Linked DNA regions of Callithrix jacchus. The protein of the gene in region 3 purifies or fractionates together with the protein of the main gene of each other region. This does not show direct contact. Links are inferred from orthologs where the notes say so. Each region holds a gene or a part of one and is shown on either strand. Other genes may lie near its edges.

What was found.
Region 1: the proteins of TCEAL1 (region 3) and USP11 purify together in Homo sapiens (affinity purification with mass spectrometry; 4 studies listed by BioGRID, counting the BioPlex papers as one, with this or other methods). This does not show direct contact. The link is inferred for Callithrix jacchus from reciprocal best matches to the Homo sapiens genes TCEAL1 and USP11.
Region 2: the proteins of TCEAL1 (region 3) and KDM3A purify together in Homo sapiens (affinity purification with mass spectrometry; 3 studies listed by BioGRID and IntAct, counting the BioPlex papers as one, with this or other methods). This does not show direct contact. The link is inferred for Callithrix jacchus from reciprocal best matches to the Homo sapiens genes TCEAL1 and KDM3A.

The regions. Positions count from the first base shown.
Region 1 is NC_133524.1:48,203,848-48,206,572, reverse strand, and holds part of USP11 (ubiquitin carboxyl-terminal hydrolase 11), read right to left. Parts: intron 2,421-2,725; coding exon 2,214-2,420; intron 1,026-2,213; coding exon 973-1,025; intron 772-972; coding exon 529-771; intron 439-528; coding exon 368-438; intron 89-367; coding exon 1-88.
Region 2 is NC_133515.1:26,553,850-26,557,601, forward strand, and holds the start of KDM3A (lysine-specific demethylase 3A), read right to left. Parts: upstream 2,709-3,752; 5' UTR 2,643-2,708; exon of another isoform or gene 2,599-2,642; intron 2,077-2,598; 5' UTR 2,047-2,076; coding exon 1,861-2,046; intron 1-1,860. UniProt on the Homo sapiens protein: Histone demethylase that specifically demethylates 'Lys-9' of histone H3, thereby playing a central role in histone code.
Region 3 is NC_133524.1:99,680,294-99,684,045, reverse strand, and holds TCEAL1 (transcription elongation factor A protein-like 1), read right to left. Parts: upstream 2,295-3,752; 5' UTR 2,206-2,294; intron 1,769-2,205; 5' UTR 1,691-1,768; exon of another isoform or gene 1,688-1,690; intron 1,536-1,687; exon of another isoform or gene 1,454-1,535; intron 1,376-1,453; 5' UTR 1,344-1,375; coding exon 864-1,343; 3' UTR 303-863; downstream 1-302.

The DNA.
Region 1 (2,725 bases), about 51 Mb from region 3:
CCACAGTGGTGAAGAGCTCAATGCACTCTTGCAGCCGCACGGGAGCCTTCTTCATCACGTACCCGACGCAGTCATGCTTCACGTAGCCCTAAGGTTGGGTGAGCAGATGGCCAGGTGGCCGGGTGTGAAGATGGGTAGAGGGGAGTGGGGGCCCAGAGGTGGGAGACACATGCCAAGTGGGTCAGAGCACCAACTTTGAAGCTAGGAACCTCAGGCCCTGGAGCTCTCAGTGGGTGTTCAGGCCCCAAGGCCAGGCTTGAGCTGGAGCTCTTGGCTCTGTTCCTGGCTGGAGCAATTGTGGGGAGGACGTACAAATTGTTGAGGGGCAAGAGCTGAAAGTGCCCCCCATCCCTGGGATCTTGTTTACCTCAGCCTCCGCCTCGTCATAGTAACGCTTCTTCATCTCCGGCTCCCAGTCGATAGCAATATATGGCTGGGCTGGGGGGTGAGGGAAGAGGTGGTCATGGATGCTGCCAGGAAATCTCCCCTCTGGTGTCCCCAGCCCTGGCTAACAGCCAAAGGAGATACCATGGACTTCTTCAGGGGAGGTTGTGCGGTCGCTGGTCCCATTAGAGTTCACCGTCTGCAGGGTGAACAGCTGCTTGCGCCGTCGCCTTGGGGGCCACTGAGATGTGCCAAGGCAGTTGTCCAGAAGGAATGGGCACCTGTTGGTGACTCCAGAGCTAGGCCCAGGCTGCTCTGGCTCAGGCTCTCGGAGGCTGCCCCCAGTTGAGGGCCCAGGGACATCATCTTTATCTTCCTCATCATCTTCTAGGACAAGAGGATGTCAGAGATGGGAAGGTGTGAGCCTCAAGTGCTAAGCTGCCATCACACCTAGATGAACCCTGTGTGGGTCAGACCTCTCCCAGACCCCCCGCCCACTGACTGTCAGCCCCTCGCCCCAACTCAGGCCATGGCACGACTTGTACAGACCCTCATCCTTGTCGACCCTCTCTCCCACCTTTCCCTCACCTTTCTCATCCCCATCATCTTCATCATCTGAGCTGGGTTTGGTCACATAGCGTCTGCAACAGAGCAGAGGAGATTCCCAAGACAGGGGTACAAGGACAGTGGTAAATTAGGGCCCAGGATTTTACTTAGCTGAAAGTAGGAGGTGACTGGTACACCCAAACATAAACTGTTCTGAGACCGGGCGCGGTGGCTCAAGCCTGTAATCCCAGCACTTTGGGAGGCCAAGGCAGGTGGATCACGAGGTCAAGAGATTGAGACCATCCCGGTCAACATGGTGAAATCCTGTCTCTACTAAAAATACAAAAAATTAGCTGGGCATGGTGGCGCGTGCCTATAATCCCAGCTACTCAGGAGGCTGAGGCAGGAGAATTGCCTGAACCCAGGAGGTGGAGGTTGCGGTGAGCCGAGATCGTGCCATTGCACTCCAGCCTGGATACGAGCAAAACTCCATCTCAAAAAAAAAAAAAACGTTCTGAATCTGACGTGTGAGAGTGATGAGGAGGTGATACATTTATGTATGAAGAGGCCAACACTGTCAGCAGTGGTCTGACAATGAAGGAACTTGGGTGCCTGTCAAGAGGTGTGGAGTGTGATTAGCCGGGCGTGGTGGTGGGCGCCTGTAAGCATAGCTATTTGGGAGGCGGAGGTAGGAGAATTGCTTGAACCTGGGAGATGGAGGTTGCAGTGAGCCAAGATCGCACCACTGCATCTCCCAGGTTAATCACACTCCACCATCAAGACTCTGTCTCCAAAAAAAAAAAGTGTGGGGTTTGGACTTTTTAGTCTAATAAGCTGCTGCTAGACAGACACATGCTGGCCTGGCTGTAACTTCCTATCAGGGAAGGGCTCTGAGAAGTGACTTGAGTGCAAGATGAGGGAGGAGAATCCTGGTAACACAATGCTTTGTGTGCCATGGTAAAGATTCTGGATTTTAGGCACAATGAAAATTTGTCAGCAAAAAGACAAAAAACCGAGATTCTCCCAAGAGAGACAACTGAAGACAAGACGAAGCTGTCTGTTTTGTGCATCTTGTTCACCTCTGTGTCACTAGCACCCAAGAGAGGCATTAGCAAGGCCAGAGGTCTAGAGAAAGAAAAACCACCCTACAAGTTCTTCTATGGCCACATTAAATTTGGACTGTCTTTTGCTTGTTGCAGGGGAGGTGTCAAATAAGCAGCTAAACACCCAAGTTGGAGTTCAGACCCCACCACCCCTGCCGCCCCTGGGAAGAGGACACTTACGAGAGCCGGTACATCAGGACGTTATACAGGCCCTCCCAGGTAAACCGGTCCCGGGGCACCGACACCAGGAGGGGGTGCCCAAAAAGCATCAGGCCATAGTAAGAGTTGTTGTAGTCACGGGCAGGGGTGCGCTCCCGCAGGTAGACAGGAACCACGATGTCCTCTCTTGAGCCCTCGATAGCCTCAATCCGACCTGACACCTCATAGCTGTGGAGGGTGGATGGCAGGCATACATGATCAGGGCCCCCTGAGACTCCCTGACTCTGCCCTCGCTGACCCACCCACTCACAGCCTGAAGGTATTTTTATTTATTTATTTATTTATTTATTTATTTATTTATTTTGAGATGGAGTTTTGCTCTGTCACCCAGGCTGAAGTGCAGTGGCGTGATCTCGGCTCACTGCAAACCCTGCCTCTCGGGTTCAAGCAATTCTCTTGTCTCAGCCTCCCAAGTAGCTGGGATTACAGGCGCATGCCACCATGCCCGACTAATTTTTGTATTTTTAATAGAA
Region 2 (3,752 bases), on a different chromosome or scaffold from region 3:
TAGACAGTTCCTTCTAGATTGCTTGCCTAACCTAACAGGTTCTCAATCACCGCCAGAGAAGGGCAGGGAACGCCTAGTCTCTCAACATCTGCCAAAGAACTGAAGACTGGAAAGTTTAAATAAGATCTTGTTTCCATTCAAATCACATAAAAACAAATGCACTAGAGAAAATTTTACTTGGCAGGTGAAATAAACCACAACAAGCATAACTGAAATCTAGTAGACAAAGCCTATCTTATGTAGAAAGGTTATAAGCCCCAAGCAAAAAGGTTGCCATTCTTGCACCACAATATATTCTCTCTATAAATATCACAACCTGATTTGGCAGGAGAATGAGTGGAATGGAGGGAAAAAAACCAAACCTCACAGCATGACAGGAACTCTGTTGTGGCACAGCTCTTGATTACTGGCTGGCTGATTAAGAGGGCAGCTTCTGTAGTGAAACTTCCAGGGTTAGACAAAACACAGGCTATCAGGCTATGTCAATTCCTAGGTATGTGTCCTTGGCAAGATGTTTAAGGTCCCTCAGGCACAGTAGTTTCATCCATAAACCTGGGGGCAATATTAGTACCTACCCCCAAGAACTCCTACAAGGATTAAACGAGATCATGGTTGTGAAGTGCTTGGCACACAGTTAAATGCTCTTTGGTCACTCCTCCTTTTCAACATGAGACAAGGCACAACATTGAAGCATTAATACATAACAGCATACCCTTTCCCCACAACTCTGCAGATAAATACCGGTTTGGGCATGCACGGTCACCCTGAATGTGTTCAAATGAACAGTGTTTTAGAAATCAACATATCAACTGCCAGTGCTAAAACTTGCTTCCTTTATTTGACCATAGTTTAAGAAAAAGCAAAGATGATGGTCAAGTGAAGATACTGAAACACATCCATTATGCAGGGTGGAAATATCTTCTGACAAGCTTCCTTCAAGTTATCACCACTTTGGAGTCTTTCTTAGGAACCTTTCTTCAGTTATTTTTGCACAAAGGAGTCTTTGTTGGTACAATGGCTTCCTCACTAGTTGTTCCCAGACAATCCTTTCACACCAATACTTCTATTAGGGAGCACAATCAGAATTCATCTATCTATGAAAAGATCTAACAGAAAAAGGTTCTGAGTGTCATTATGATTAAAAAAAAATTCACTGACCATACTTGTTTCCAATTTTCTTCCTCCTCCAAAGCGTCCAAGCATAGTATTTCTAAGTCAGTCCTCCAATATCCCATATATGGGACTGCTCCACCCCATTCCTCCATATATGGTCATATCCCACACCCACCGACAAGCTCATCACAGAAAACCAGGAACCCACTCCTGCCCTGACCCACCATATACGGACAAATACCCACCCTAAACGCCAAACATTACTTAAGCTCCTCCCTCTACGCTAACTTCATTTTTAACAAGGCAAAGTTTTTTGTAAAAGTTGAGTGAATAAATTAAGAGGAGCAAACAAACAAAACTATCTGAAAACACTTCCAAGCACTAACCCTCAATTCTTAATGCCTCCAAACGTCACCTACAGGTCCAACCCAACGCTAACAGAAATACCCCTCCTCCTCTGGAGAAAAGATCAGACAGTCGTAGTGGGACACAGCACCGGCATTAATGAAGCGTGTCTGAACAACCCTAAGCCCATTATTAAAGCCAGGCAGCCAAAAGCTGTGGGCCAAACACACCCCGGCTCTACACAACCATCCCAAAGACTTTCAAGGTCTAGCTTCCTGCACCTTCAGATCAGATGCCAAGTTTCTGGTCTCCGTTTTCAGAAAACGGAGGGAGGGGGCCGATGGTCGCGTTACCAAGGTAACTATGAAACGTCCGGCGGCTGAGGCCCGGAGCCGGCTGTACCTTCAGATCCTTCTTGGTAACGTCGGTGTGGGAGACAGCGCGAATGGTCCCGGAGAGCCAGGGCCACTCGGCGACGCGCTCCACGTCCCAGCTGTCGTGGCCGTCGTCGCTGCCGTCGGCTGCGGACAGACTAAGAAATCGCTTCCCCACCAATACCGGCCAACTTTCTCCGAGCGTGAGCACCATGGTTTCCACGCCTGCAGGAAGGGCTCCTCCCTGCAAAAACACAAAAACAAAATGCGACGGGGGCGGCCGGTGGGAGGGGGCCGGGCGGAGACGGCGGGCGGAGGGCGCTGAACCCGCGCGAGGACGCGGCCAGCCCCGGGCGTACCCGCACCGAGCCCCTATCCTGCGCCCTCCCGCCCCCCGGCGCCCTCCCCGCCGCACCCCGGGACCCAGCGCCGCGTGACCCTCGCTCTCTCAAGTTTCGCTTTTCCAACACCTCAAACGCAAACGCAGAGAGAGTGAAGGAAGAATTATCTGCGGCTCGAGCGGATTTGAAAGTGTTCAGCCCTCATCCCCAAAAAGAAAAGGCCCCGGTGCAGATGGCCGGTCCCGGGCGGCCCGGTCCCCGCCCCGGGCGGCCCCGCGAGGAAGGGTGGGCGAGCCCGCGATTCCGCACTTGCCCCGCCGCGCCGCCCCGGCGCCCAGCTCCCTGGCCCCCAACCCCCGGGCGCCTGTCCCGCGGGCCTGCGCCGCTGCCAACCCGCGACAGGGCCGCGCGCTCAACGCTTTCACCTTCCTTCCCCCTGTCCCCGCAGCCGAGGCCGCGGCGCTCTTACCCCGCCTCCCGCCTCCCTGAGTCACCAGCAGCAGCCGTCGTTCCCAACCGCCTCGCCGACTCCAGCGCTGACTTGGTTCAAGAGCTCTCACAAGACACGCACAGCCTCCCGGACCCGCCCCCTCGGAACCGCTTCCGCCGCTCATTGGCTGAGACACAGGAGCTGGGCGAGGCTCCAGGGAAAACAGACTATCACCATTGGTCAGCCTGGCGGGGGCGGGGCCAGAGAAAAAAACAATTCCTTGGCTGCCTCCTCCCTCTCCCCACCCCCTTCCGACTCCCGGTCGACCCCCATTAGGTTAAAGTACACAGAGAATAAGCGAGAGATCCCTCCGCCACAGGCCCATTCTTTCCATTTGTTGCCTCACAGTATGCAAAAAAAAAGTCCTGCGAAATCGGTTATCAACTTTGGGGCCCGAAGGAAAATTGCCGTGGCGCACAGATAAGGATGAATGGAGACACCCTGAGCTGTAAGTGCCTATTGGATTGTTCGTCAAGTGCGTAGGCTGTCGACCGAAGATGAGCCCTCCACTTGGCGGAAGAATCTCACAGGAAAGGGTGAGGGCGGTGCAGAGTCAGCGGGGGAGGGAAGGGAAGAGAACGTGCGGTTTCAGGCGTACTCAGCTAGAGGGAGGAGCGACAGTGCTCTGGAGGCTCGTGCGCAGGCGCTTCGCCGAGCTTGGGCTGCTGGGCGAAATGGCCGCGAGAGGCGCAGGCGCACGTGGTGCTAATAATGGAACTTCTAAAGGCCGCCATTTTGAAGGATAAATGAAGAAAGGCATGGAATCACTGGATAATGACGTTCATTAAATCTGGAGCAAAAGAGACCTTTATGTACAATGTATAGTGGGACTTTTCTTTTTCTCTTAAAAAAAAATTGAGAAGGTATTCTGAGGCTTACAAGGAAATTGAAAGTAGGTGAAGGCCATAATGAATGGTGTAAGAGATGAAAGAGCAGGTGACTTTGAAGGACAAAGGAGTTAAGAGGTGATTGTGTGCTCTGAACCTGAAGTATTTTGATTGAATGAAAAAGAAATGGAAACACGAAATTGAAGACATGTGTTCAGAAAGGCTGGTGTTTGGCATTACATCACATTTAATCCTTAAGATA
Region 3 (3,752 bases):
TAGAATGTGGCACTCACCTGGAATCTCACCGGAATTGTTTGTGAGCACAAGTGAGATCTCCTTTGGGTACCTTCCCCTGTGTCTGCAGGGAATCTATAGTGGGGGGGGGGGGTTAGGGTCCTGCCTCTGCTGGTAGAATAAAAACCTCAAACACAGCTCACACAATCTTTTTCTCATCTGGTCCCACAGTAGCACTGTAAAGCAGGTATTATTCTTATTTAAAAGAGAAAAAAATCTATTAAATATAATCAATATGTGGTTTGTATTTGTGCCTAAGAGATCACAAAAAACATAGGATTCACTTTTATGTTTTTTAAGTTCTGACAAGTATTTATTAAGTGCCACATTGTCTTTATAAGCTGATTGACAGTCTTCTTCAAAATTGCATGATATTTTTTCATTATATGTTTTTTGCAACACAAGCAAAACGTGTTTGTCTTGAAAAAATGAGAAATTCAGATAAAGCAAAAAATTTTTAAAATCACCTATTATCACACAGATAACCACTGTTATGCCTTTGAAGTATATACTTTTAGTTTTTTCTTTGCATATTAATATATATACATTTTTTACAAAAATGGAGTACAATCCATACCATTTGAAAATTGCTTTTTTCATTTCACAATATATAATGTACATCTTTCATGCAAATGTGTAGACCTCATGATTGAAAGGGGAAACTTGCAGATTTTAGGGGGGAAACCCCAACTTTAAGCTAGTTACAAACTAAACATCTAAAATAAAGCCTCGCAAAAAGTTAAAATTCAGAATAGGGGAATAGACATGAAGAAAATGCAAACAGAAAGTCCAGGTGGCAATGGCAATACTATTAGCAGGCAAAACAGAATTAAAGGCCTAACACATTAAATAGGATAAGGACGGCTGCGTTTTGCCTTCCAGTGCATTATCATCAGTTTGTTCCTTACTCTTTTCATCTCTTCTAGCTCATCTGCAGCCTGTATCATCTCCTCATTGGTTAAATTTCTGCCATGTATGTCCCCTCTAAATTGCGGGCGAGAACGAGCCAACCTTTCTTTAAAGCTTCCTTCTTCTAGCTTATGTTTTCCTACACCACAAGGAGGCTGCTCCATGGGAGGGCGCCCCTCAAACAGGTCCTTCCTGGAAAGAGGCTCCTGCGGAGGGCGCTCCTCCGAAAGGAGCATCTCAGGCAGGAGCTCAGGCAGGAACTCCTCAGGAAAGAACTCCTCCTCCGAGGACTGCTCCTCCGAAGACTGCTCCTCGGGAGACTGCTTTTCGGGAGAGTGCTCCACCGGAGGCCTCTCCTCATTGGTCTTCGGCGCGCTCTGCGGCTCTTCTTCATTTTCTTGGCGTGGTTTGTCCATGTTGGGAATATTCTTCTTCAAGCACAGTTATTCTTAGGAGACAAGAAAGGCAGAATAAGAGTCAGAATACTAAGCGGCTGGACTAACACCCAGGCCGTTGGTTCCAATACCTGCCTTATCCTGATTCGGGGCCCAGGTCCTCAACCTAGCGCTTTCCCGGTGGTTCTCCGGCTCTCCCGACTCCACAGCTTCCCGGTCGCCCCCTCCTTCCCGAAAACCCACCATTTTCCCAGCAGGCTTTGCTACAGGCCTCGCCCGCAGTGACAGGGGCGGGACAGTGCGGCCTGCAGACTCCCTGCCTTTCGGCGTCCACCCTCGCGCCCCAGTCCCAGTCCACTGCGTACCACCTTTCCTGACCTGAACCTTTCCGGGTCGTATGCTCCTAGCCGTCCTCTCCTCGAGGTGCCTCGCTGTGACCAGCAGACCTGCACACAGACGCAAGACAGGGTAGGGGGCGGGGAGTGGGGAGGAGGGACGGACGGACTGACTGACACCCCCCACCCTCGACTTTCTGGGCACCAGCCACTGCCTGCACCCCCCCTTCAGGTTCTCCTCTCGCCTCAGACCCTGCATCAAGCTTCGTACTCCGTGCCCCCACCTCCCCACCCCGCAAAGCTTGCCATTTCTTTTCAGTTGGGAAAGTGGAAACGAAGCATTCTTAGAAACTATTTCCAAGTGTCTGTACCTCCCTCCCGGGGGGGCGGGGCGGCACTCACCTCCCCACCCCTCCTCCACCACCATTTTTTGCACAGAAATGTGGGCGCGGGGGGCGAGAGGCTGGAGCATAGGGAAAGGCCTGGACTCCGCCATCCCGATTCTGTCAACCCCCTTCCCAGGGTTACTAGGCAGCGCCGACACTCACATCGATTTAAGAGGGTGGAGGGAACTTACTTTCTTCTGCTTTCCCTCTCGACCAAAGGGTAATAGGGAGATGGTGGACAGGCAAAAAAGACCAGGACGAGAGGGACTTGGGCAGACATAGGCTCCTGGTCACGTGAGGGACGCGCGTCACTGCCGAACTCAGATACCCAGTTACCACTTTAACCTGCGGCCCTGTTGCAGCCACCTGCTAGTGCCTGCTAGTGTCCCCTGACCCCAGACATACCAGGCATTGTCACACATCTCTCTTTGTATTTGCCTTTTCCTGGTTGCCAGAGATGGTCAGCATCTAGTCTCGGGTGATATTGCCTCTTCCTGTGTGCTGCTTCCCCTAGTACCACCTCTTTCTACCCTCCTCCCTTCCTCAGCCACCAAGGACCCTTATTTCCCCTTCAGTTCAGATCCTGCACTAACATTTGACTGTTCACCTTCATAAATCAATATTATATCCTTATATTCCAACACTCTCAGTTTTAATCCACATCCATAACTCCATCATGTCCATTTAGGCTCATTCAGCATGTTTTCATCTCTTGTGACTTTCATGGGAGAGAATCTTTCACTTTTTCTTGACATCACATTTTGGTTTTTGAGCCCCCAGACCTACATTGGTAATCATTAAGTTCTAGACTTTCAGAGAGAGTTAAGGTTGTAAAGTATGTACATCTAAAAAGAATGAATACTTTGATTTTCATAAATCAAATATGCATTTGTCCATCTAAGTACAAATAGTCCAGAAAACTTATTTATTATCTGAAATGGGATAGTTCTTGGTGGAGAGCCTGGCATTGTTCTATCTGTGTATATCTATACACACGCATATATATATATATATATGTATGCATACACACTGAATATATTACACATTAAATATATATATGTATGTACATATATATAAATTATTCAGTAGTTATTCATAGTAGAAGAAATAGATTTTACTGAGACTCTCAATCCTTAACCAGCCACCTCTTGGTTCTTCTGGTTGAGGAATTTTATAATAATTCATTAAATCAACAAATATTTGAGTTCTGGGACTGCTGGACCCCAAAAGTTAGATGCTGCTGGGAGGGCATTCCATATTAAACTATGCAATAATTCTGTTGACCACATACTGAGAAGCAGGACTACAATCATGCTAGGATATTCAGTTGTCATTGAAATATGTATTTTTTGGATCCAACGCTATTTTATGATCTTTAACTTGATGCCTGCCTCTCACCTACTCACATCAAGCTGGATGCTACTTTCTTATGCAGATGCTCTTTCCTCCACAGGGCACACTACTTCCCTTCCCTCTGTGTTTTACACTTTCAGGGTAGGTGGCCATCTGATCTGCAAGGATCCTGGGATTTTGTTTTAAAGCCAGACTGTTTACTAAGTTTCTGAACAGAAATTCATGTGAAATTTCCCTTTTTAAGAACTGTTTGTTGCTTTTCTCCAACATCTAATTAACTTCGTGCTGAGATAGCAGCTAGACAAATATTAGTTTACCTTCACATCATTTTTTATAACTTTTATTTTCAAATTTGT